Linked DNA regions of Drosophila melanogaster. The protein of the gene in region 1 interacts with the protein of each later gene in a biochemical or structural test. Each region holds a gene or a part of one and is shown in the gene's direction. Other genes may lie near its edges.

What was found.
Region 2: the proteins of cact (region 1) and Dif form a complex in vitro, tested with the Drosophila melanogaster proteins (one study listed by BioGRID).
Region 3: of the proteins of cact (region 1) and pll, one has a biochemical effect on the other in vitro, tested with the Drosophila melanogaster proteins (one study listed by BioGRID).
Region 4: the proteins of cact (region 1) and dl form a complex in vitro, tested with the Drosophila melanogaster proteins (2 studies listed by BioGRID).

Annotation. Positions count from the first base shown.
Region 1 is NT_033779.5:16,322,617-16,328,615, reverse strand, and holds the start of cact (cactus), read left to right. Parts: upstream 1-2,408; 5' UTR 2,409-2,595; intron 2,596-2,990; exon of another isoform or gene 2,991-3,122; intron 3,123-3,195; exon of another isoform or gene 3,196-3,561; 5' UTR 3,562-3,588; coding exon 3,589-4,283; intron 4,284-5,098; coding exon 5,099-5,276; intron 5,277-5,445; coding exon 5,446-5,656; intron 5,657-5,999. Other genes in the region: mRpL4 (mitochondrial ribosomal protein L4), read left to right, coding at 1-204, 267-486; CG4278 (uncharacterized protein), read right to left, coding at 581-1,459. UniProt on the Drosophila melanogaster protein: Involved in the formation of the dorsoventral pattern. It inhibits nuclear translocation of the dorsal morphogen in the dorsal region of the embryo. Acts as a negative regulator of the NF-kappa-B (rel) signaling pathway.
Region 2 is NT_033779.5:17,424,408-17,430,347, reverse strand, and holds the start of Dif (Dorsal-related immunity factor), read left to right. Parts: upstream 1-2,148; 5' UTR 2,149-2,692; intron 2,693-5,940.
Region 3 is NT_033777.3:27,249,586-27,254,896, reverse strand, and holds pll (pelle), read left to right. Parts: upstream 1-1,714; 5' UTR 1,715-1,939; coding exon 1,940-2,259; intron 2,260-2,317; coding exon 2,318-2,983; intron 2,984-3,046; coding exon 3,047-3,566; 3' UTR 3,567-3,766; downstream 3,767-5,311. Other genes in the region: TfIIA-L (transcription factor IIA L), read right to left, coding at 169-369, 1,272-1,295; TTLL6B (tubulin tyrosine ligase-like 6B), read left to right, coding at 4,065-4,489, 4,547-4,843, 4,901-5,054, 5,119-5,311. UniProt on the Drosophila melanogaster protein: Plays an essential role in the Tl receptor signaling pathway that establishes embryonic dorsoventral polarity; the signal directs import of dl into ventral and ventrolateral nuclei, thereby establishing dorsoventral polarity.
Region 4 is NT_033779.5:17,446,720-17,452,304, reverse strand, and holds the start of dl (dorsal), read left to right. Parts: upstream 1-1,940; 5' UTR 1,941-2,429; intron 2,430-2,936; 5' UTR 2,937-3,009; intron 3,010-3,794; exon of another isoform or gene 3,795-4,027; intron 4,028-5,585. UniProt on the Drosophila melanogaster protein: Embryonic developmental transcription factor. The lateral or ventral identity of a cell depends upon the concentration of this protein in its nucleus during the blastoderm stage.

The DNA of each region.
Region 1 (5,999 bases):
CGGACCCAGGTCGCCTACGACCCATTTTTACATGCTGCCCTTCTATAAGAGGGTTTTAGGATTGACCTCCACGCTGAGTGTTAAGCTGGCCCAGGATGATCTGCACATCATCGATAATGTGGACATACCCACCGGAGATGCAGAGTTCCTTAAGGATTTAATCGCCGAACGGAATTGGGGACCTTCTGTTTTGATTGTAGACGAGTGAGTTCTGCTTGTAGGTGAACATATAATATGTAAATTGATACTGATTCTGTTTTTCTCAGAGACCATATGTTCCCCGCCAATATTTGCCAGGCTAGCGATGATCTGGGCTATGTCAACCTGATGCCAACCTTTGGCTTGAACGTCTATTCTATGCTGAAGCACGATACTTTGGTGCTGACAGTGGCTGCAGTGAAACATCTGGAGCAGCGCCTGCTCTACCAACTTAATCGAAACGACGCCGCCAGCAAGGGCGGCAAGTTTAAGCTGGATCAAGTCTAGAAGTTAAGAAAGTTAAATCCTTTAGTTTATTTGTAACCTTTATGGATGCGCCAGAAAATGCATTGTTAAACAAAAAATGCTTATAAGATCAAAGTTATTTTGATGTGCTCTTGTAGACGTCAACAAATGCGCTTAGTTCTTTGTTTATATCGCTAGCCACGGTGACCAGAGGATCCTTGTCCACTTCAGATACAAATACCAGGCATTCTTCATTTAAAGATTTGGCCAATATAGGGCAAAACTCATGGAGAAAACCCCTTTCTGAATTACTATGATTGCAGAGAAGAACGGTGGTATTGTTGTGAGTAAACTCCAGAACTTCGTGATGGGACATTTCGCCGGTAATGATAAGATCCGCTTGGATACCCTTCAGCAGAGATGCTCCAGAGCCGGCACAAATGCCGACGGATTGGATGAGTGTCTTGGGGGTGTGGCCCACAGCTAGAGCAACGTGCACGCTGTTTCTAATGCGCTTTTGCAGAGACTCCACCACCTGGGAAAGCTCCATTTTGGTTTCTATATATCTACCGGATCCGGTACCCGGAGGAGCACCCAACTCCGGTTCCAGAGGGCGGATGCTGATGATATTCACTGCCTTAGATAGCCAGTCGTTGACGCCACCACTCTTCTTATCCCACGCCGTGTGGGGCGAGTACAAGGCTATATCGTTGGCCAAGCATGCTGCCACCACGCGCTCCTTCCAATGTGACTGCGTAATCCTGGTCAGGGGCTTGAAAATTGGCGGATGATAGCTGATTATGAGCTCCGCCTCCTTCTCTAGCGCTTCTTTCACTACGGGCTCGGTTAAATCGTTAGTTAATAGTATTTTCTTGATTTGTTTTTCGCGGTGCGGTTCGATCAGGAGTCCCACATTGTCCCACTTCTCTGCCCAAGAAGTCGGAGCAAAGTTCTCCAGCTCCTTGACCACAGCCGCCAGCTTTTGACCACTAAAAGTGTTCATCCTTCTCAGCATTCCTTGACGTCCTTTGCAAAATATTTCTGGTCCTGCGTTTAAGATTTTGTGCAATTGACTTATTGGCCGGTAAGTGCTGCCAACTTAATTTTTGTTGTTTTACCTGCTCTTAAAATCATCTGTTATCACCCGCAATTTTTAAATTGGGCGATAAAGTAATTGGTTAATATTAATAAACATTAAAAAACACTACTATAATTTTATTAGCAGGTCACATTTTTGTTGCGTAATTTTGTTAGAAAAACATTTAATGAATATTTGGATTTTATAATAACGAGAATAGCAAAACAGTTTTAATAAAACGATAAAAGTTTATGTTATAGCAAACAAATAATTAGAAATTAACAAAATATTTAAAAAGTTTATATACCTTAATAAATTTATCAGATTGGCACCAAACACTTGTTTTTAATAGAAAAACGAACGCCTGATAAATAATAATTCAAGAAATTCAATCGGAAGCCGAAGAATTTAAATTTTAAAGAATAATTTAATTAAGTCATACAAAAGCAAAAAGCAAAACCCGACAAGGAAATGACCAAACCCCTAAAACTGAAGAGTAATTTACAAATTCCCAGCAATTTAATCAAAATTTTAGGAAACAAGTCCGATTTTTTAATAACCTATTTGTTATAATAAATAACTTTACAACTACGAGAGGCGGAATTTTAAATTTTAAATTAAAAAAGCGAGCAAAAACTTTCGAAACTACTTGTGACCGTAAACACAGGTTTTATGGTAAGAATCTGATAATCTTGTAAAGCCCCTCTAAATTTCTTGGATTCAGATAATTTTTTAATCAATACAACCTTGTAAAAACCAAAATAATCGTATATATAATATTTCATGAATTGGCGATAAAATGTGATTGAGTGTTAAAAAATCCCAGAAGGAGAGTGTATGACAAATCGGTCGCTCAGAATATCCCATGAAATTCAGAATTGGTCGAGGTTTCAATCGAAGCTGACCTGTGAAAAACCGAAGAAAGAATCCTGCATTTCATTTCCGTTCTCGGTCAGCGGGTGATTTCCCAGATATTTGTCCGCCTCGCCGTCATACGCATTTCAACCGTAGGACGCCGAGCATCAACATCAAGTGGCTTCGCTCGAGGAACTAAACAATCACACAATCAGAGAGTAAGAAGTATAAATAAACGCATCGCTGCTGTGGTTGCTTTTGTTGCAGCTGACCATTTAGCTGCTCATTTTGTTGTTGGGAGATTTTAACTTGGCGCTCTCCCTACTATCTGGCAACCCTATGGTCTCCCTCGCACACATGTAAAACTGATTTAAGCCCCGATTACACACTCCATCGTCGATATATTAAGGCAAACGTTTTCACTTCGGTCTTTTCAAGTCTAGAATTTTATTTTTTTTGGGCAAATATGAAAAAATAGATTTTTTTCAATTAACAGTTTTCTAAGTAAAGAAAATTTAAAATCGAGACTCTTCATTTCGTGATAACTCTTAGTGCAAACGGGGCTTTATAGTATAGACTGCCATATAAATATATACATATCAGCGCGCTCCCTCAATTTCATTCGCTATCGAAACGTGAAAGAAAGCAGACGTGCGTCCGGGTACTATGCGAATTGCAGATTACAAACATTTAAACCATAAATACGCGTTTTAAAGACAGCTTCGCAAGACAATTAACCAGCAAGGTAGTGAGAAATCCATAGAAAATAGTGCTGGGGTTTAAACCCAGAACATGTGCAGAAAATAAAAAGCGAAAAGGAAGCTGTGTGAAAAGGGAGATAAAAAATCTACCTCAGTGTGATTGTGGGTGTGTGCGGGTGAAACAACCGTGAAGAGGCAAATAAGACATTGGCAAATGGAAAAATCTAAAATTTTCAACCAGTGTGAAACCGTAATTTTTATTTTTCTGCGGCTACACTTGTACATAAGTCCATAAATTGCCTTTAATCTACAAAAATTATTGCGTTTTCACTTGTTCGCTGGAGCCTATATGTTTGTTTCACTCGCACCACCGAGGTGAGCGCTTACTGTGCGTGTGTATGTGTGTGTGTTTGAGAGACTGGGCTCAAAAGCAAAGTTCAAAACGACAGGAGTATATATATAACATATATACATATATTTTAGCCCAACTGAGAGAGGAAAAGCACGAAAATGCCGAGCCCAACAAAAGCAGCGGAGGCAGCAACAAAGGCAACAGCAACAAGTGACTGCAGCTGCAGCGCTGCCAGTGTTGAGCAGCGCGCCCCCTCAAACGCGGCTAACCCCTCGTCCTCACTAGCCACTAGCGGTAAAATTGGCGGCAAAACACAAGATCAAACGGCCGCCATTAACAAGCAAAAGGAATTTGCCGTGCCAAACGAAACCAGTGATTCGGGCTTCATCTCCGGCCCGCAATCCTCGCAGATCTTCAGCGAGGAGATAGTCCCCGATAGCGAGGAACAGGATAAGGATCAGCAGGAGTCGGCACCCCAAAAGGAACAGCCCGTTGTCCTCGATTCCGGTATTATCGACGAAGAAGAGGATCAGGAGGAGCAGGAGAAAGAGGAGGAGCACCAGGACACCACCACTGCCACCGCCGATTCAATGCGACTCAAACACAGCGCGGACACAGGCATCCCACAATGGACCGTCGAAAGCCATTTGGTCAGTCGCGGCGAACAGCTTAACAATCTCGGCCAGAGCAGCAGCACCCAAATCACCGGTCGCAGCAAGGTTCAATCCTCCACAGCCAGCACGGCGAACGCGAATCCTTCGGGATCGGGAGCAACATCATCCGCTCCGCCCAGCAGCATTAATATCATGAACGCCTGGGAGCAGTTCTATCAACAAAACGACGACGGCGACACGTAAGTAAACATTATAGAATCTCAGGAAATGTCACTTTATTCTAGACTTTCAAATTATTTATATATGTGCAAACCACATTTATAGATAACTTCGAATGTGTATTTTTAATGTGGGGAAATTCCCAAGTATGATTTAAACATTTTAGCGCCTTATCTCTAGGTCACTTTAAAAACTTTCCCATGCTTATTCTTAGACTAGCAATCATAAGAACTTTATATTTTAAATATTTTATACAATTGGACGGTATTTTTTGAAATTGGAAACGATTGATTATATTTAGACTGTCACAATCGCCAAAAAAAAATCTTTATTAGAATTTAGGTCTTCATGCTCTTAAAAATCAATTTAACATACTCATTGACAATTCACGATTAAAGATTTATAAGCACAGTCTTTGAATCATTTCCGAATTTCTATGAACTTATACGTGCCGTATTTCCGATGAGAATCCTAAAATTTCCCAAAATAACAAAGACAACGCCGCGTTGCACTGATGACCACCAAGCGAGCTAAGGGGAGAGTTTCGTGAATCACTCAAAGACGATTGTCTGAGGCGAGAAACGCGACTGACACATGTGTTTTAGTCAGGCTTTGGGGTTTTCCTGGTATGTGGGCAGGTACGGGAACAGGTTTTTCGGGGCACCTCTTCTTTCTTCACATTACTTTACCTCTACTTAACTTACTTGGGTTTTTACGCCGCCACATGAACGGCGACAAGTGTACAGGAAGGAAAGAAAGTGCGGGTGTTCGATCGCCAGGTAAAAGAAACCCACAAATTCATGTTGTTTTTTTTGCTCTCTCTCTCTCATTTCAGACCTTTGCACCTGGCCTGTATTTCGGGATCAGTGGACGTGGTGGCCGCCCTGATTCGCATGGCTCCTCATCCGTGCCTGCTCAACATCCAGAACGATGTGGCCCAGACACCCCTTCATCTGGCCGCTCTTACTGCCCAGCCGAACATCATGAGGATACTTTTACTCGCCGGAGCTGAGGTAATATTCAACAAAGATCGAATAAGAAGATTTAGATATTTGCATATTTGTAAAATCTAGCTTAATCCCCTATTGACGAATGTAATGTCATATCATCTTGATTTTCTAACAAAAGCTAATTTAAGTATTTATATTTGTAACAAAAGATTCCCATTACTCATTTGAATAGCCCACGGTGCGCGATCGTCATGGAAACACAGCTCTGCATCTTTCCTGCATCGCCGGAGAGAAACAGTGCGTCCGTGCCTTGACAGAGAAGTTCGGCGCCACGGAAATCCATGAGGCCCACCGACAATATGGACACCGATCCAACGACAAAGCGGTCAGTTCCCTGAGCTACGCCTGCCTGCCCGCCGATCTGGAGATTCGCAACTACGATGGTAAGTAAAGTGCTAGTTACATATACCGCACTCAAGCAATAATAATTAGTTAATATTACTGATTCCACAATTTCGTATAGATAGCAATATATTATTGCTTGGGTATGGAAATCACGAGCTATTTGTCTCGCAAACTTGTAGGAATTTTTCCGTTCTAGTAAAGTGAATATTTTTGGCCCAGCATTTTCAGGCATTTATCATTAAGAATATGAATCTGTGCCAAAAATGTACCAATTATATAAAGCTCTATATATGAACATATACATATATGATATAAATGGTGTCCCGCCAACGGCTAGCCAAACTGCGAGACATTGTCGTCTGCCATATAGTACACATTGTA
Region 2 (5,940 bases), 1.1 Mb from region 1:
CTATTTCGCATTTTTTAACACTATTCACCTTATAATAAATTATTTTTTTTAAATTTACATGCTTCAGGCATCTGATAAAATATGCCTTTAAAGAAAATGTTAAAATTAATATTTTAATAAAATACTAAACCAACAAATGCAACAAAATCCACTTTAGATATTATTTGTCACTTAATTCAATAGGCCATTTAATATCCAGAAATCTATAATCTTTAAGTGTTTTTTGTTAAGATGTATGTGCTATTTGTTTCTCCCAGTGCATATTTGGTGGCCTTAAACTGGCGCTGGCTGAAGAGGAGCAATAAAAGCGGCAGCAACAACAAGTGGTTGCTCAACTATGCGCTCCGCCGTCAAGCCCCCTTCGCCCCCTTCCACCCCCTTCCACGATTTCTTTGGGGCTTGGCTTTGTTTTTCTGCATTCTCTCTTCCTCGCTCTCTCTCTCCCTCTCGTTCCCGCTCACGCGCGTGACCTTGAAGCGCAAATGTGCCAGAATTGCAGGGGGAGTTGTTTGGGCGGGGGTAGAGTCTTTGACTTCTCCCCCTTTTTTTCTTCTCTTCTTCTTCGGGGAGCTTAATAAAGAGTTGGAGATTTCTGTGACGTCTGATATGTTTACTGAAAGTGGCTACTACGTCATGGGGCATTTGTCATACATGTATGGCTAAAAGCACAATCGCAACTAAAATCCTTCTACAGTGATCCCTAGCCATAAAGAGCAAGAAATTTTAAAATAATAGAATAAAAGTGTGGATTACAATTGTAAATTTGATAATAACATGTTCAAAAAGTTATACAAATTGTCGTACTATATTTTCATCTATATCTAAATATTCATATTTGCTCAATAAATTGCTAAATAAATAAATATCTGTTTTCCTAACTTAAAATTTCTCAAACCCCAGAGCTGAAATAGTTTAGTTTATTTTTGCACGTCCTGAGGTATTCTTGGCTTTGTTGCAATCCTATATAGATGTAAATTGCGGCCGGGAAATTTGCTCCCAAAATGCATTTTGTCCGCAGACGAGCCCACGCTACATGAAAACTGTGTTTTTAGTTCGAAATTTTCGTGGGCTAGCAGAAATAAATTATACTATTTTCATTCATGCACAACAATAATGAAATATTTCCACCCGATTGGCAATGTTAACTGCAAATATTTTTCCCCTACGTGTTTGGTCTGCACTTGTGTTTATTTCAATGACTAAAATCTGTCTATGGAACAGAAGCCAAAAATTGAGTTAATAACTCAGTTCGACCTTAGACGTTGGCGAATCTTTTTTCGGTCTCATTTGGGAATTTTGTTGGCGTGAATTAGCAACGTTGTATGGATTTTATAATTTACATTTGCCGAGGGTCGAACTCGTTTCAGGTCTGTCAATTCCTGGGAAAATCAATAAAAACATTCAGCTGTCATACCTATATTAGATAAATAGATCTATTGTTATGCATCTGGCTAATAGTTGTCGATTTTTTTCGGCTTCTCATTCCAGAATGGCGAATGATTCACATAAAGAAAAACTTTTCCTCCTATCTGATCTTATAATAAACCTTTGATCTTGATTTGTCCAGAAACCTGTGCACTATTTTAAACGAATTTTTAATGAGAAAAGAGTTCATGTGAAATAACATCTTAGGTATTTTGAATTTTTATGATATTTCCAAACCATTCATAACAATAAATTTTCATTCCCAGCAAAAAGTACACATTTTTTTGTAAGGGAATCAATGTTTACTTATAGCCGAAAATCGAAATTGGAACACCTGCAGAGCGTTATAAAAATCTCAACACTTTTCCAAATCCACTTAAAAATCTATAACCATTTTTTCTGCTCGATGGCGTCATAGGAACGCACTTGAACACAAATACATTAGAGAGAACGAAACATTGAGTACGCACAACGGAAATGAAAATAAATAAAGGAAAAGTGAAGCAGTTTCGAAAATAAAAACAGATATTGGCACCCTCCGTCAGTTGCGATCAGCAACCATCATATCAGCAGCGGTAACTTTTTATCACGTATACGTATCACGTATACGTATCAAGTATACGAACCGAATGCATGCGATCGCAGAGAGCGAACAGCTGAGAATGGAGCCTGAGCTATCGAAGCCATTCCGAAGCTCTCTTGCAGCCGAGTGTGAAGCGAACCGCTCAGTTTCAATCTGAACTTGGCCGCCGACGGACGTGAAGCGCCGACTTGTTCACACATAGATATCCATACATATATATATACATATAGATGTACATATAACGCATATTGTGCAAGTCGCACGCGACTATATAGCTGCCAGTGTATTGGTTAATTATACGAAGCACGACAACTACAACGTAAACTACAGATGTGTGTATAAATCAATGTCCGCTCTAAACAGGCGGCTGCAGTGTCAATAGCAAAAATTAAACAAAACTCAAAAGTAAAATACATGAGCGGAGCAACAACGTCGCTTGTGGGAGCAACTTTTGTTTTTGTTTTCAATTTCTTCATAATTTTTTTGGCGCGCCTTTTGTGAGTCGCGCGCGATAAGTCCGACACATAAACCGAAAACCAGTCAATCATAAAAGACAAATTTAATCAATTACACGTGTCAACACAACAAAGAGCTAATTCGATTTCTGTCTGACCCAGTGCATTCGGATCGAGAATCCAAATTTAATCAAGCATTTAAAGCAGCCTACCTACTACACCATAAAAGGTTAGCTATAATAAATTTTCTGAAACTATAGTCAGCTAGCTAGCTTAAGGCGTAGTTTGTAAAGTCCCCGGTCCAGAAGGCGGCTTTAGAAACTTAGGTACAGACAGCTTCCCGTGTCAGGTTCGATTGCAATGGCACTGCAAAAAACTACGTGCCAGCAACTCGGCGGAATTCATAAATTTTAATCCCAGATACATAAATAAGTACACAATTTTCCGATGCGGGCAATTACTTATCTAATGCCACGTGTAATGAAATTTGTATTTATTAATAGTGAAGTGAAAAACGGGAATACGGCCGGGTTCACTAGACTGCGTAATCGCAAAAAAAAACGACAAAAAATTTTAATTTTTAGTGTATTATTTTTATTTTGTTTTTTTTGTCCATGCGGGAAATATTTTAAATATTTTTGTGACTTCTTTAATCTACTTCCTGTTTGATTTGAACCTAAACACCCGAAAGATTATAGGCATAGCTATATCAATACATTAAATATAGACTTTGTGCAATACTTCGTAAATATTTATTAAAATATGGTATGTTTTTGCTTATCAGCAAATATATATTTCTGCTAGTGTAACTGCAGTTTTGCAACCCAACAGGCGTATAATATATGCAAATGAAAACAAGAAAGGCGGTTGACTGCGATTTATTAAAAGAGAATAACACTCAGTACGACATTTACTAGTAGTCCCAGTGTTTCTTTCTTGTTTTATTGGTCGACTACGAAAAATCATTAACATACTGGTTCAGATTTGTACATTTGCACATAACATATGCCGGAACTGCACCCTAGAGTAGACATTTCCTCCCAAGAGCAATAATGTATGCAATTATAAACATTATAACTCTTATCTCAAAATTATAGTGCCAAAGCTGTTTGTGACGTTTTCACATTTCAAGCTGTTGTATTGGAAATAATTTAGGCGTTGATATAAAAAATTGGAAGAATATAGCTACTCAGTTAGTCTTTAAATAACTTTCCAAATGTGAAAGAAAATCTGCTCAAGAGGAGCCAAAAAGAAGAGGAATTCAATGGTCAAAAAAAAAAAAATCGAAGCAAATGCAAATATTTATATTAACAAAATGTAAATATTTTTACAACTGAAATCGGCACGGCAAAAGTTTATAAAAATTTGCGGTGGCATCTGGAAGATTTCGTTTATTTCATTTGTAATCAAAGGAATATACAACCTGAACCGTGGAACTGAAACTGCAATCGAAAGACACGAAATGGCATAAAGTCTTTAAGACTTTTGCCTTATCCGCACGCAAAACATTCGGCCATTTGGCCGTTTCGGAATCCATAAAAATAGAATGAAATGGAACAGTCATGGTCAAAACTTACTCAAATATCGATTTATCTGCTCCCAGCCAGCAGCTATCTAACTTGTATTGGGCGATGAACCGATGATGCCAACGGCAGCGGAATTGTTTTCGGTAATTGTAGAAAATAAAACACAAACAAAGTCCGCACTTTTCACACCTTTTGGTCCATGTGTGTGCGATTGCTTACATACAGTATAAAGTCGCAGTCTAGCTATAACTTTGCCAATTGTATTAAGCAGACTTGTTTCCGAATTGAAAGTTATTGTAAATTAAATGCCAGCGGGAGAAGGAAGGTCACAGCCTGTACACACATTTGTGTGTAGGGTGCAAGTCTAATTGGTAAACAATTGAGAAACGGTCAAAACGATGAACTCTGGATAGAGCTGGTTAAATATATGTTGCTAAGAATTATCAGAAACCTTTGAATTACTTATTCTTTAAATTAAAATTTAAATTAAAATTTAAAGAATACACAATGAGAAGCTTCATGTAAGCTATAGTATTTTCACCCACCAGTAATCGATTCAAAACTATTTTTACTGTAAAATAATATAACAAACTTATACTAATTATGTTTGTTTTCAAGAGTCAATTCAGCTTGATCAGTTTATTGAATACTTGTACACTTTTTCGGAAAACCCAAGAGAGCAAATGCAATTGCTTTGAACTTATTTCAATTAACTGATAAGACTTGAACTTTAATCAGCAAGAAGAAAATCCCAGCGGGGCTTTATATTCTAGTCTCCCTGATAACCCGGCGTGAGATTGAGTACTATACCTTATATATATTTCTTTTCATTTTCCGCATGAACAAAAACCAACTAAACTTTAAAATGATCTGTCATTCACATTTACATCGCCAACCAAAGCCCAAGTTCTACAAACAATTCACGCCACCACACAATTTTACAAACAATGCGGGGAAAAATATAGCTGAATCCCATTACGCATACGCCATGTTGTACCGAATCTGAATTGATTGAATCGTGAAAAGTTTTATAGCAAAATAATTAAATGCTGCGGTTTCCTCCAATTTTCGGCCATCGCGTGTCGGTCGTTTTTCTTGGCTGAAAGCGAATGTACGTACGAACGATTTGTCTTGGCCATTAGAATGGAAATGGCTCCAACGCTTGGGTAAATGAGGTCTGGTGCGATGTGGTCTGGCTCGGCATTCTGGGAATGTTTTTGGGGTGCTCGGGCATTATTTACTTGACTGCAAAAATGTTTCCTTTGATTTGCTTGAAAGGCAATGAAAATCGATTGGCTGTACAATTTAACTTTTGACTGCAAATGGGTGGTGATGAGCGAAGCCAACCTAGATGTAACCGAATTAATTACCTTTTAATTAGTTTTATACATTATGATTTTTCAAGTAACACGGCACACAAAATAAAAATAGCAAACGATTCGAGCATTCGACCATTCAAAATTGCCCTAATAAAAGTTGACACCGTCGGAGATTATATATTATTTCGTGTTTATCGTTTTCGTCGTTGTACTATTTACTTATTTTCTTCATAATTGCTGTCAAATGTGACAAATATCGTTTTATTCCCATTCAAAGCTTCGAACTTTTAGCTCCTAACTTAGTCGAATTTGATTCATAATTAGCTGGGAATTACTTATTGATAAGCTTATCAGCAAAAGAAGCTTAGCCATTGGTTAGCGTGCCTTCATTAAACTGGAAGCGATTTAAGCTGCGTACTAAAATCAATTTTTGTATAAAAGATTATGGAGCTATAAGAATAAGAAGAAAAAGAATTTCTAAGAATTCGATTATGTTAAGCCGAAAATTATATTACGATAGAAACTAGCCAAATATTCGCTGAAGTTCTCCAAAATCATATAAAAATAACAACCTATACATTTACTATGTGTTTTTGAGGTCATAATAAGTTTTAAAATATCTGATTTATATC
Region 3 (5,311 bases), on another chromosome or scaffold:
ATTGTAGTGGTTCAAGTGGTGGAGCATAAGAAAGATAAAGCAAGATATCTTAGTTGGAAATTTTTTTTGGGATGAAGATATCACAATTTGTATGGACTTCTACGTTAAGTTAGACAGACACAAGGATTCGCGATGAGAATATCCACCCAAGGGCTCCGTTTCGCTTACCTTTGGATTGTTGGCCACGATGGGTGGCGGATGGGAGCCATCGCCGGAGTCCGGGCTCAGCTCGACGGCCTTGCTAGCAAGCAACTTGTTGCGCCAGACCTGCTTCATCTCCTGCAGCACCTGTTCGTCGACGCCCTCGTCCAGGAACGCGTCCCGCACATTTGTGATGACGTCCTCGATCACGGCATGGTACACCTTCAGCTGCGGGCGAGAGGGGATGCGGTTAATTGTGTATAATTAAATTTGAAATGCACGACAAATCTGGGCTTGTGTTGACTTAAACACTCATTATATTATCGCGGCTCAACTTCACGCTATTAGGGCCTAAACAGTTGGGGGTAAAACAATAGGGATTGCGCAAAAAATCCACGAAGCAAGTAAAGGGCAAGACGCTATAGAAGTTGAAAATGTGGCGCACAGTATGTGGTGAGCCTTTTTGAGCTCCCATTAAAATTCAGACGCAGCTGTAATGTGAATATGCAAAACGCAAATAAAGTATGTAAATTATTTGTTTGCGAAGAATGTCGCAGTGCACATATGTACATAGATACCATGCATATGCTGGTATATATATATATGTACATTGTACATATATATACACCGGTATGCCAGTTGCTTGTTTTATTAATAGTTTGTTTTGCGTTATCAGCGGACGATAAGGAAGGAGGCCCCGACTTGTAGATAATAGCACAAGCTACGCAGCGTGTATTACTGCTAAATATAACCCCCCATGGGAGTTTGAAGTACTACGCGGAAAAGCCGAAAATCGGAAAATCCAGAGGGCAAGAAACATACAAAACTGCAAGGCAACGAACGCACTAACACAGCGACATCCAGACAGACACGCACTCGCATGCACACACATCCACACCCGAGAGGTTTGCAGTTTTGGTATCTCGGATTTCAGCAGTTGTAACTATCGTTTTGTAGTAACTACCATGACCACTGGGAAAGCTTTCACTTTCCCGCGTGGGCGGCGGAAGGAGGTGAAGCTGGAGGAAATGGAGAAACTCCTTGGTAGGATGCCTTCCATATGTCGAATGCAATGGAGCCACCGCCGCTGACACAATTACCGGATCTCGGGGATCCAGCCGCACACTCACCACCGATGTCTGGCATAGCGCCATTTGGACCTTTTTCTCCGCCAGCTTGAGGCTTTTCCGTTCGCTGGTGGGGCTAATTGACGTATTTGCTGAATTATAAATGGGCGAAGCGAAGAATTAGCGATAGCGATGCGTTCGTGACGGTGTCAGCAGTGTGGCCACCTGCGGGGCACTTGAAAACGACGCATGTCCGCCAAACTGCAAGGCTCATTTGGTCATACACTAATTGCCTTTGGTATTTTTTAAGATATTTTAGTATACAAAATACTGTGCAAATTACATAAAATATGTGGAGGTTATTTAAAATCTATTTAATATTTTCATACAGCAAATACCTTTTTAATAATTACTCTGCTTTCTTTTTACTTCTGAATTTTAAACAGTGGCTCCTAAGCATCTACCACTTTTTCGAGTGTATTATTTGCTAGACATTGGCAGCGTTGCCAGACTGCTTCGCTCTGTTAAGCTGCTTTATCACTTGTTGCGCCGCTGTTAACAAGTCATCCACAGGTTTTCATCGAATCGCGTTGGGAATTTACCCAAAAGCGATTTTCGTTTCGCTGCAACAGGTTACCAGCGCCGCCAACCCCTCATCCAACGGGCACTCTTGCATCCGGAGCCGCATGAATCAGTCGCAACCGGTTGAACCGCCCGCCCATAAGTGAAAGATGAGTGGCGTCCAGACCGCCGAAGCCGAGGCGCAGGCCCAAAACCAAGCGAATGGCAACAGGACCAGGTCGCGTTCCCACTTGGACAACACAATGGCCATCCGACTGCTGCCGTTGCCCGTGCGAGCCCAGCTATGTGCCCACTTGGATGCCCTAGACGTATGGCAACAGCTGGCCACGGCCGTAAAACTCTATCCCGACCAGGTGGAGCAGATAAGCAGCCAGAAGCAGCGTGGCCGCTCAGCCTCCAATGAGTTCCTCAACATTTGGGGCGGTCAGTACAATCACACGGTGCAAACATTGTTTGCTTTGTTCAAAAAGTGAGTCAGTTTGAGATAATAACCGCCGAGATCCCAGAAATGACTCCTCTTACTTTAGATTGAAGCTTCATAACGCCATGCGTCTGATCAAAGATTACGTTAGCGAGGATCTGCACAAGTACATACCGAGGAGCGTGCCCACCATCAGCGAGCTGCGCGCTGCTCCCGATTCCAGTGCCAAAGTAAACAACGGCCCGCCGTTTCCCTCCTCCTCGGGCGTCAGCAACTCAAACAACAATCGCACCAGCACAACGGCAACGGAGGAGATACCCAGCCTGGAGTCCCTGGGCAATATACACATTAGCACCGTACAGCGGGCAGCCGAATCCTTGCTGGAGATCGATTATGCGGAGCTAGAAAACGCCACGGACGGCTGGAGTCCGGATAATCGACTGGGACAGGGCGGATTCGGAGACGTGTACCGCGGCAAATGGAAGCAACTGGACGTGGCCATCAAGGTGATGAACTACCGCAGTCCCAACATCGACCAGAAAATGGTGGAGCTGCAGCAGAGCTACAACGAACTCAAGTATTTAAACAGCATCCGGCACGACAATATCCTGGCCCTCTACGGATACAGCATCAAAGGTGGTAAGCCGTGCCTCGTCTACCAGCTGATGAAGGGCGGCTCCCTGGAGGCTCGTTTACGAGCGCATAAGGCACAAAACCCACTACCAGCACTCACCTGGCAGCAGCGGTTTAGCATCAGCCTCGGCACGGCTAGGTGGGATTTATCGTTTCTTTAGTGCTATCAATCTTCTTTAACTTTTCATTTCGTTTCCAAAAGAGGCATCTACTTTCTGCACACGGCGCGAGGCACACCGCTGATTCATGGAGATATTAAGCCGGCCAACATCCTGCTGGACCAATGTCTGCAGCCAAAAATCGGAGACTTCGGTCTGGTGCGCGAGGGTCCCAAGTCCTTGGACGCTGTGGTGGAAGTGAATAAAGTTTTCGGCACTAAGATCTACCTGCCACCGGAGTTCCGCAACTTCAGACAACTCAGCACGGGCGTGGACGTCTACAGCTTCGGCATTGTGCTGTTGGAGGTGTTCACGGGTCGTCAGGTGACGGATCGCGTGCCGGAAAACGAGACGAAGAAGAATTTGCTGGACTACGTTAAGCAGCAGTGGCGGCAAAACCGGATGGAGCTGCTAGAGAAGCACTTAGCAGCACCGATGGGCAAGGAGCTGGACATGTGCATGTGCGCCATCGAGGCGGGCTTGCACTGTACTGCCCTGGATCCGCAGGATCGCCCATCCATGAACGCGGTGCTCAAGCGTTTCGAACCGTTTGTTACCGACTAGATGGGCCTTATTATGTTACCATTTTATTGACGAACTTGAAAAGCTCGAAGGACCATTTGTAAACCATTTCCACATTTTGTGATCAATCGCAATATATATTTTTAACTTTAACATTCCAACGAAAATTTCCCTAAAGACTTATTGTTATGCTTAAATTGTAAATGCTTACCCTATTGTTTATTAAATATTTTTGTACACTTAGTTGTTAGTGGTATGTTTGATGTTCGGAGAAACTAAATTTATGATATGCCCCAAATCGATGATTTAAAACTCAAACGACTCAAGCGACGTGGCCAGTGGAGCTACGTTTTGATTTTAGCGTCATTTCGGTTATAATTATTTTCATTTTCACAACACAATCATCGCAAAATAATATTGTTTTTATTCGTGACGCAGAATTCCGGCTCTAACCATTGACACGAATCAATTTTATAGATATAGCTTTTAGCACGTGAAAAATTTTCAATTTTTAATCAAGGACGACCAGCGGACGAGACAATGAATTTAAAAAATTCCAAGTTTTTCAAGAGGATTCAGGAGCTGCGCCACTTCTCCAAGGAGAAAATACGGAAGGATCGCGAAAAGAGGACCCACGTTGTTCGCGCCCTGGACATGGCTCTTAATGAGCAGCCGTGCTTGGACCGGGAATGGTTCAGTCCGGAGCAATCACCGCCACTGCAGCCCATGTCCCCACGCCGCCGGATGAAGAAGACCCGGTGCCTCAAGAGGAGGACAGCCGCCGACAAGCAAGTGGATGATAACTCCCCATATTACGGACCATCTTCTGGTGAAAACAGCCCAATGCCTGCTGAGGAAGCCAAGCTGCAGGGATTCATTCAACTGAACAACAAGACCTACCGAGTGGAATGCCCCACTCGGGTGCTCAATCCTCCCATGAACGTCGACGAGGAGCGGCCAGCCAGGTGATCTTCCTTAGCTTTGGATCCTTATTGGATAACGCATCTAACATAATCCCCCAGCGAAACCAAGAGTACCATCTGCGTGTCCAACTCGCGCTACGCCATGATTGGGAAGATCTCCAAGACGCTGGGCTACAAGTTGGTTAAGGAGTCCAAGATGTGGAACATCCTCTGGTCGGATTCGTTTCCCGGCGTAGAGCTGTTCAAGAACATGAAGCGCTTCCAGCAGATCAATCACTTTCCGGGCATGATCGAGATCTGTCGCAAGGATCTGCTCTCGCGGAATCTAAATCGAATGCTAAAGATCTTTCCACAGGACTACAAGATCTTTCCCAAGACCTGGATGCTGCCGGCGGAGTAAGTAAACCCCAGCCTCACACTGAAAGTGCTAATCATTGATACCAACGATTTCAGCTATGGAGATGCCATGAACTACGCGCTCAACCACAAACGCACGTTCATCCTGAAACCGGATTCTGGTGCCCAGGGTCGTGGCATCTGGCTGACAAACGACCTGAAGACCATAGGTCCACATGAGCGCCTCATCTGCCAGACGTACATACACAGGGTAATGTATCCGCTGTTCATCCGGAATCCCATACGCTGGCTAACCATCGCATCCACTTTTCCAGCCCCTGCTCATCGATGGGTACAAGTTCGATCTGCGTGTGTACACCTTGATTACCTCCGTGGATCCCCTGCGCATCTTCGTGTACAACGAGGGATTGGCCAGATTTGCTACGAACAAGTACGTGGAGCCCACGCCCGGAAACGCCAACGATCTGTACATGCACCTGACCAACTACTCGGTGAACAAGCGGAACT
Region 4 (5,585 bases), 1.1 Mb from region 1:
TTTAAGGCGAAAGTCCGACAACCGGAAAAAATCAATAATGTCGTATACACGGGGTGCAAATGTACATATGTGTATGTACATGAAAATGACTGCCCCAGCACGTGTCAGCTTATAAGGGGGCAGGATCCATTAAAAATTACCTCGCGGGACTGGACGAATATCGCGTGATTTTCGTGGAAAACCCGCTGCAATTGGTTGCCGGCCTTGTGGGAGTGGGAGCTTCTCCATTCACCATTGTTTGATCGATGTCTGGACTCCATTAACCGGGTTGTTGTTCTACGTTCGTGCCATCAAGACATTGCGAGTTGACTTAGTCCCGCAATTCCCCCACTCCAATTCCACGGGCGGCGATGGCAATTGATGTGGAATTTCAATACTAACATTTGACATAATTCCTATTTATTTGCGCTTAGCTCACGTGCACTTATGTATGTATGTATGTTTACCAGGTGGCATGACCTTCGTGCCAGTGTGGTTTTGATAACGATTTACGATAATGGCGGAAAGTCCTTTTTTATGCATATGTACGTAGTATTGGGAAGAACTTAAGCATGTGGATTTTGTGTCACCGACCATCCAACTTTAATTAATATTATTTTTATTCTTATTTACTTATAAATTTTTCACAGTAATAAAATAGGAACATTTAGTACTTATTTGTAATTTTGTCATGAAATTATAAAAATACTACCTGGTTCTTTCGCATGTATTTCAAACTGATAATATTTCGTTTTCCAAATAATGTGACAATTATATTTTCTATTCATCGTTCATATTTAATAATTTGGTTTAATTAGCTGAAAAACCCAAAACATAAAAATCCTTATCTAACGTGCGACCACTTTTTAAGCGATGTATTCAATTATCAACTGTACTGACCCCCATTTCCCCAGAAGGTGAATCAGCAATATTATCAAATTCCGCGTAACAAGCCGTCTTGAATGTCAGAGGTCCTCCGCCCGGAAAGTGAAAGCTGCTCCGGAATGCTGAGCACGAAGCAAGTGAGTCACGGCATTGAGACTCTGCCGCAGTGGAAATTAATGCCACAACAAATGCCGGCGCAGGATATTATCCTTTTTCCAGGAATCGTACGCTGATTCAGACCCCCCAACCGCATGGGTGGGAGTGGGGTCTTAAATGGATAGCTCGCAGCCACACACACAGATAGTTAGTGCTCACCGTGCTGTTTCATTCATAAAAGCTGAAAAAGCTTTTCGGAGGCAGTCGCTCGTGGAGATGAGTCACATGTGAAAGACACTGAGATAAATGACGGAAGTTATTTTTTCCATTTATATTTTACTTTTCGTAAATATGCATATATAGTTGGAATATTCGGCTATTTAAACGAATCTCACATTGAAAATCGAATTCTTGATGATTGGTTACCATACAGTTGAATTCTCAATATTTAAGAAAAACAAAATATTTATATTTTCCGATTCCTTTGGGATGCTCCTAATAAAAAGATATGCATTTTCAATTAATTAGGTATTCCTTCAATATAATACGTGTTATAGATTTAAAAGGTGACACATTTTAAAAGCTTTTGAAAGAAACAACTGGCCTGCATTCCTACTAATCGGTATCAGTCAGATAAAAACATTTATATTATATGTATGTATATATTGTTTCGCCTTTATGCAATCATCGCGTATTCCTCGAAACTCGGATTTGTGGAAGATGTGGACATCTGTAAGCTATAAGTCGCAAGTGGAAAACTTCAATCGTACGTGACTCAGCACATGCTGATCTCGCACTCTTCGCCAAGCTAGGCTCTTCGGATTGTCTCTCTTCTGAGCTTAAGTCGAGACTGCAAAGAGCAGAGCTTGGGGCCGACTACTTAACTCCGTTGAAAGCTTCGCGATCTGCAAGTTTTGCGGTATTTTTCAGTGGCGCATACGGTATTGAAAGTTTGGCTCGCCTGTTTCTTCTTGGTGGGCAGTTAGTGTTCAAATCGCGGGCGTCGAGATCGGTTGGTAGTGCGTGTGTTACGGGTATTTTATCTCCACCTCCAAATTGTGCCTTATTTACCTTTTTCGCTGTGCTTTAAGCTTCCGCTCTCTTTCGCTCTTCTGGAGCTCGAAGGCAGGTTGAAATACCAGTAGATAAAAATAAAACGAAAAGTAAAAGAGCTGCATAAAAACGCATAAATTCAATTGAGCTCTAAGCAAGTTTCACTTGCTTTTTCGTATTACGAGTGACAAAAAAAAGAGACCCACCAATATAACGGAGGAAAAAACAAAAATAAAAAACTCGGCGCACGTATTGATAATTTCTATTAAAACTGAACGTTTACCGATTAGATTACACGGCACATCGACACTTTAACCACAAACATCGCAAGAATAACCAAAGAAAATGGAGGGCAGAGCGCGATAACAAATTACCCTAAATTATAAATCGAATAAATCGAAAAACAAAAACAAAAGGTAGTCGTACGTCGATGATCGCATAAGCATAAAGCCCGGAATTCCCTAGAAAAAATCGACGTCACGCGCTCTCTCGCGCTCTTTGCCCACTCTCTCTTTCTTCGGACTTCGATTTCTTAACTTTTCATTAGTTTCTGTTCGAACTGTTCTCCCCCATCCGTTGTTTTTGTCGTTATTATCGATATTATCGCACCCGCTTTGTGCGCGCGCAAAAGTTAAAAAAGAATAAAATAAGAAGAATCAGAAAGAGAGAGAGAGAGAGAGTGAGTGAGAAAGGGAGGGAAGAATAAATTATTTATATATAAAAAATAATAAATAAACCGGTTCCTGCCGTGCGTGCTTGTGTATGTGTTAACATTAACATGAAAAAAGCGCCATATTTCTCAACTATAAATAAATGGCTTATTTAGCTCGCTGTGCAACGGACTAATTTTCCAATTAACACAATAAGAAACTTAACAAATAATGTACATAAAAGTGTACTAATTGGTTCGCGTTGAATTTCAGGTGTCCGATTTACTTAGCAAACCCAGTGATATCAATGCATATAAGCGAGATTTCAGATCACTCCTTGACTTAGGTGAGTCCCCCTATAGAGCCTAGCTTAATTTATTGATTCTGAACATTGATTGCACGGATTAATAAAGTGCGGTGGAAAATCCTAATGGCTGCGTTTTGCGAGAAGGGTCTTGATATTTTAATAAATATGTACACAACTATTGCTTCCAAAGACGCAAAATGTCATTACAAAGAAACGCATCTTGCATTAAACATATTAAAAATATAACCTTATTGAGTCATTGGACGCCTTATCGTTTCGGAACAATGTTTACAGCAACAACATCGTGATTTATCAACCATTATTCACACTTTTAAGGTTTGATAAACCAAGACTGGTCACTTTTCTCGCATATTAATATTTTTCATCCTAAATAGTTTTAACATTTTGACAATGTTTAAAATTCCTGGATGCTAAGATTTGTAATAGCTCACAATTTCTGCATGACAAATAATAGTTAAGATGTTAAAAAAAAACTATTAGAACGTATTCAATCCTTTGTAGTGTAACCGCAGTTGTTGTTGTTGTGTTTTTTGGGTGGCAATTATCCACCTGCGTATTAAATAATCTACGGTGAATGCAAACGATAAACTTAAATAATACAACCGAAACACCTGTGTACATGGCAGCGCAGTCGCAGTGGCTTTTCGACGTCGCCATAAATGAAAGTTTCTTACGGGCACGTGGGTGGGCGAGGGGGGCCGTGGGGCCCAGAGGGGGTGGGGCTCGTGGAAAAGCTTTTGCCCCTTGTATTTATTTATTTTTTGCTGCCACTCAAATACGCCGGAGAGGTTTTCAATTGTTTCATTCTAAGATCGACTCGATGCGCCTGCGGTCGTGTTTGCGCTAACATTCTTTTATTTTTATTAAATATTTTTAAAATTCCCTAACGGTTCGATATTATTTTTAAGTAATAATTTGAAAAGTACCATTTTGAAAGAACAAACTGCGGTTAGTGTGCGTTTTGTGGCCCAAATAAAAGCAAAAAGTGAAACCGAATTCGTCATGAGTGTTCACTGGTTCTTGGTTTGATTCGCAGGTAATTATGAAGAATGAAGAAATGCTTTTAGCTGCTAATACGGTGTAAACTCGAAAAGTGCAACCAAGTTAAATGCAAACCGTGTGCTGACTCATAACATCAGACTCTCGTCTCCGGGACCAAAGAAAATCAAAGCGCTAAAATCGCTCAACTCGTTTCCAGCAAGTCATCGGCGATTTACAAAGCTCGAGTAGAGATTTGTGTGCTAACAGAGATCTAAGGCCAAGTCAATAGATAATATTGGTTATATCTACTGGTAGTTTCCCCGTATGCTAAATCCGAGTCATGATTGATACACGATCTGGCTGTGGGTAAGGCCCTCCGCTATGCAAATCATCAATCAATAGGGATTCTATTTTAGGCGAATATCATTTAAACCACTCGATAAGAAAGATCGTGGCCGTTATAATTGGAGATACGGATAAGATATGTATCTGCATTTTTGCCGGAAGTCACATGTGCACAATAATCCCTGATCGGCTAATTTAACAAACATTGTTTGGTGTGGAAAATAAGGATAATGGACTTGTATTCATACGATACAAAACATAGCTTTTGGCAACTAGTTCCATCGATTTGTCAGCATATCGGTTATTTATTTTTATTTGAGCTGTAAATTGCTTGACGCCAACGATCGTTAAAAAACATTTGTCTGTCTGGAGTTCTTGTTTTTTTTTTTTTTGCGGAACCCGTTTCACTGAGGAATTTTTGGCTGCTTCTGATGCTTTGATGTTGATCTTAATCTTAATTTGTGGTGCTGGCGCCAAAAGAACTTTTTTCTGTGTGTCTTTGCTATTGGAAATTGCATAAAATTAGCATGTTAAATGATCGAAACGAAATGTTCATTTTATTTTGTTTACTTACCTTTTTTTTTTATTTTTCGCCAAAAGTAGTTATCGTTGAACGAGTAGAACGTTATTTTATTAATTCATTTTATGGCTTAACAGCATAGACTTTTTTCTTTTGAATTTATCGTGTGGATTTTTGCAAGACATGGTGAAAATTAATAGCTAATCAAATAAATTATTTATTGTTTTGAGCAAACGAAGGGCAAAACCATAGGAAATTCCAATATAACTCCCCTGCAAAACACTTAAACCAAAAACCATCTATCGATACATTCTCAGGCCATCGTCATTTAGATTTATTTTTATATTCTTATCTTACTTTTGGTTATCTTTGAGTTTTTTTTTCGGATTTTCTACGCTCAACACCTGAGCGTTATCAGTCTGAATGCCGCAGGTTCTATCTGACGGGAATAAACGGTGGCAAATTTGTGTGGTTGCAAATGGTTCTAATCTCAATATAGCTGCGGATGAAACCATCGTAAATAGTGTATTGCAATTAAATTCGGTGGCAGTATAATTCTTGTTAGCCTTTGAATGACATATTAAATTGGTTAATCGATTGAAACTATGGGAATTTCCAGTATTTTGATATCCTCAAAATATTAGATTTAATTTTCAGGGTAACTGACCTATTCTCGTTCAGTTCCATACCTTGTTCTCAATGAGAAAGTCACGTAGTTAGTGAATGATTCTTGCCAAACAGTGGGTGG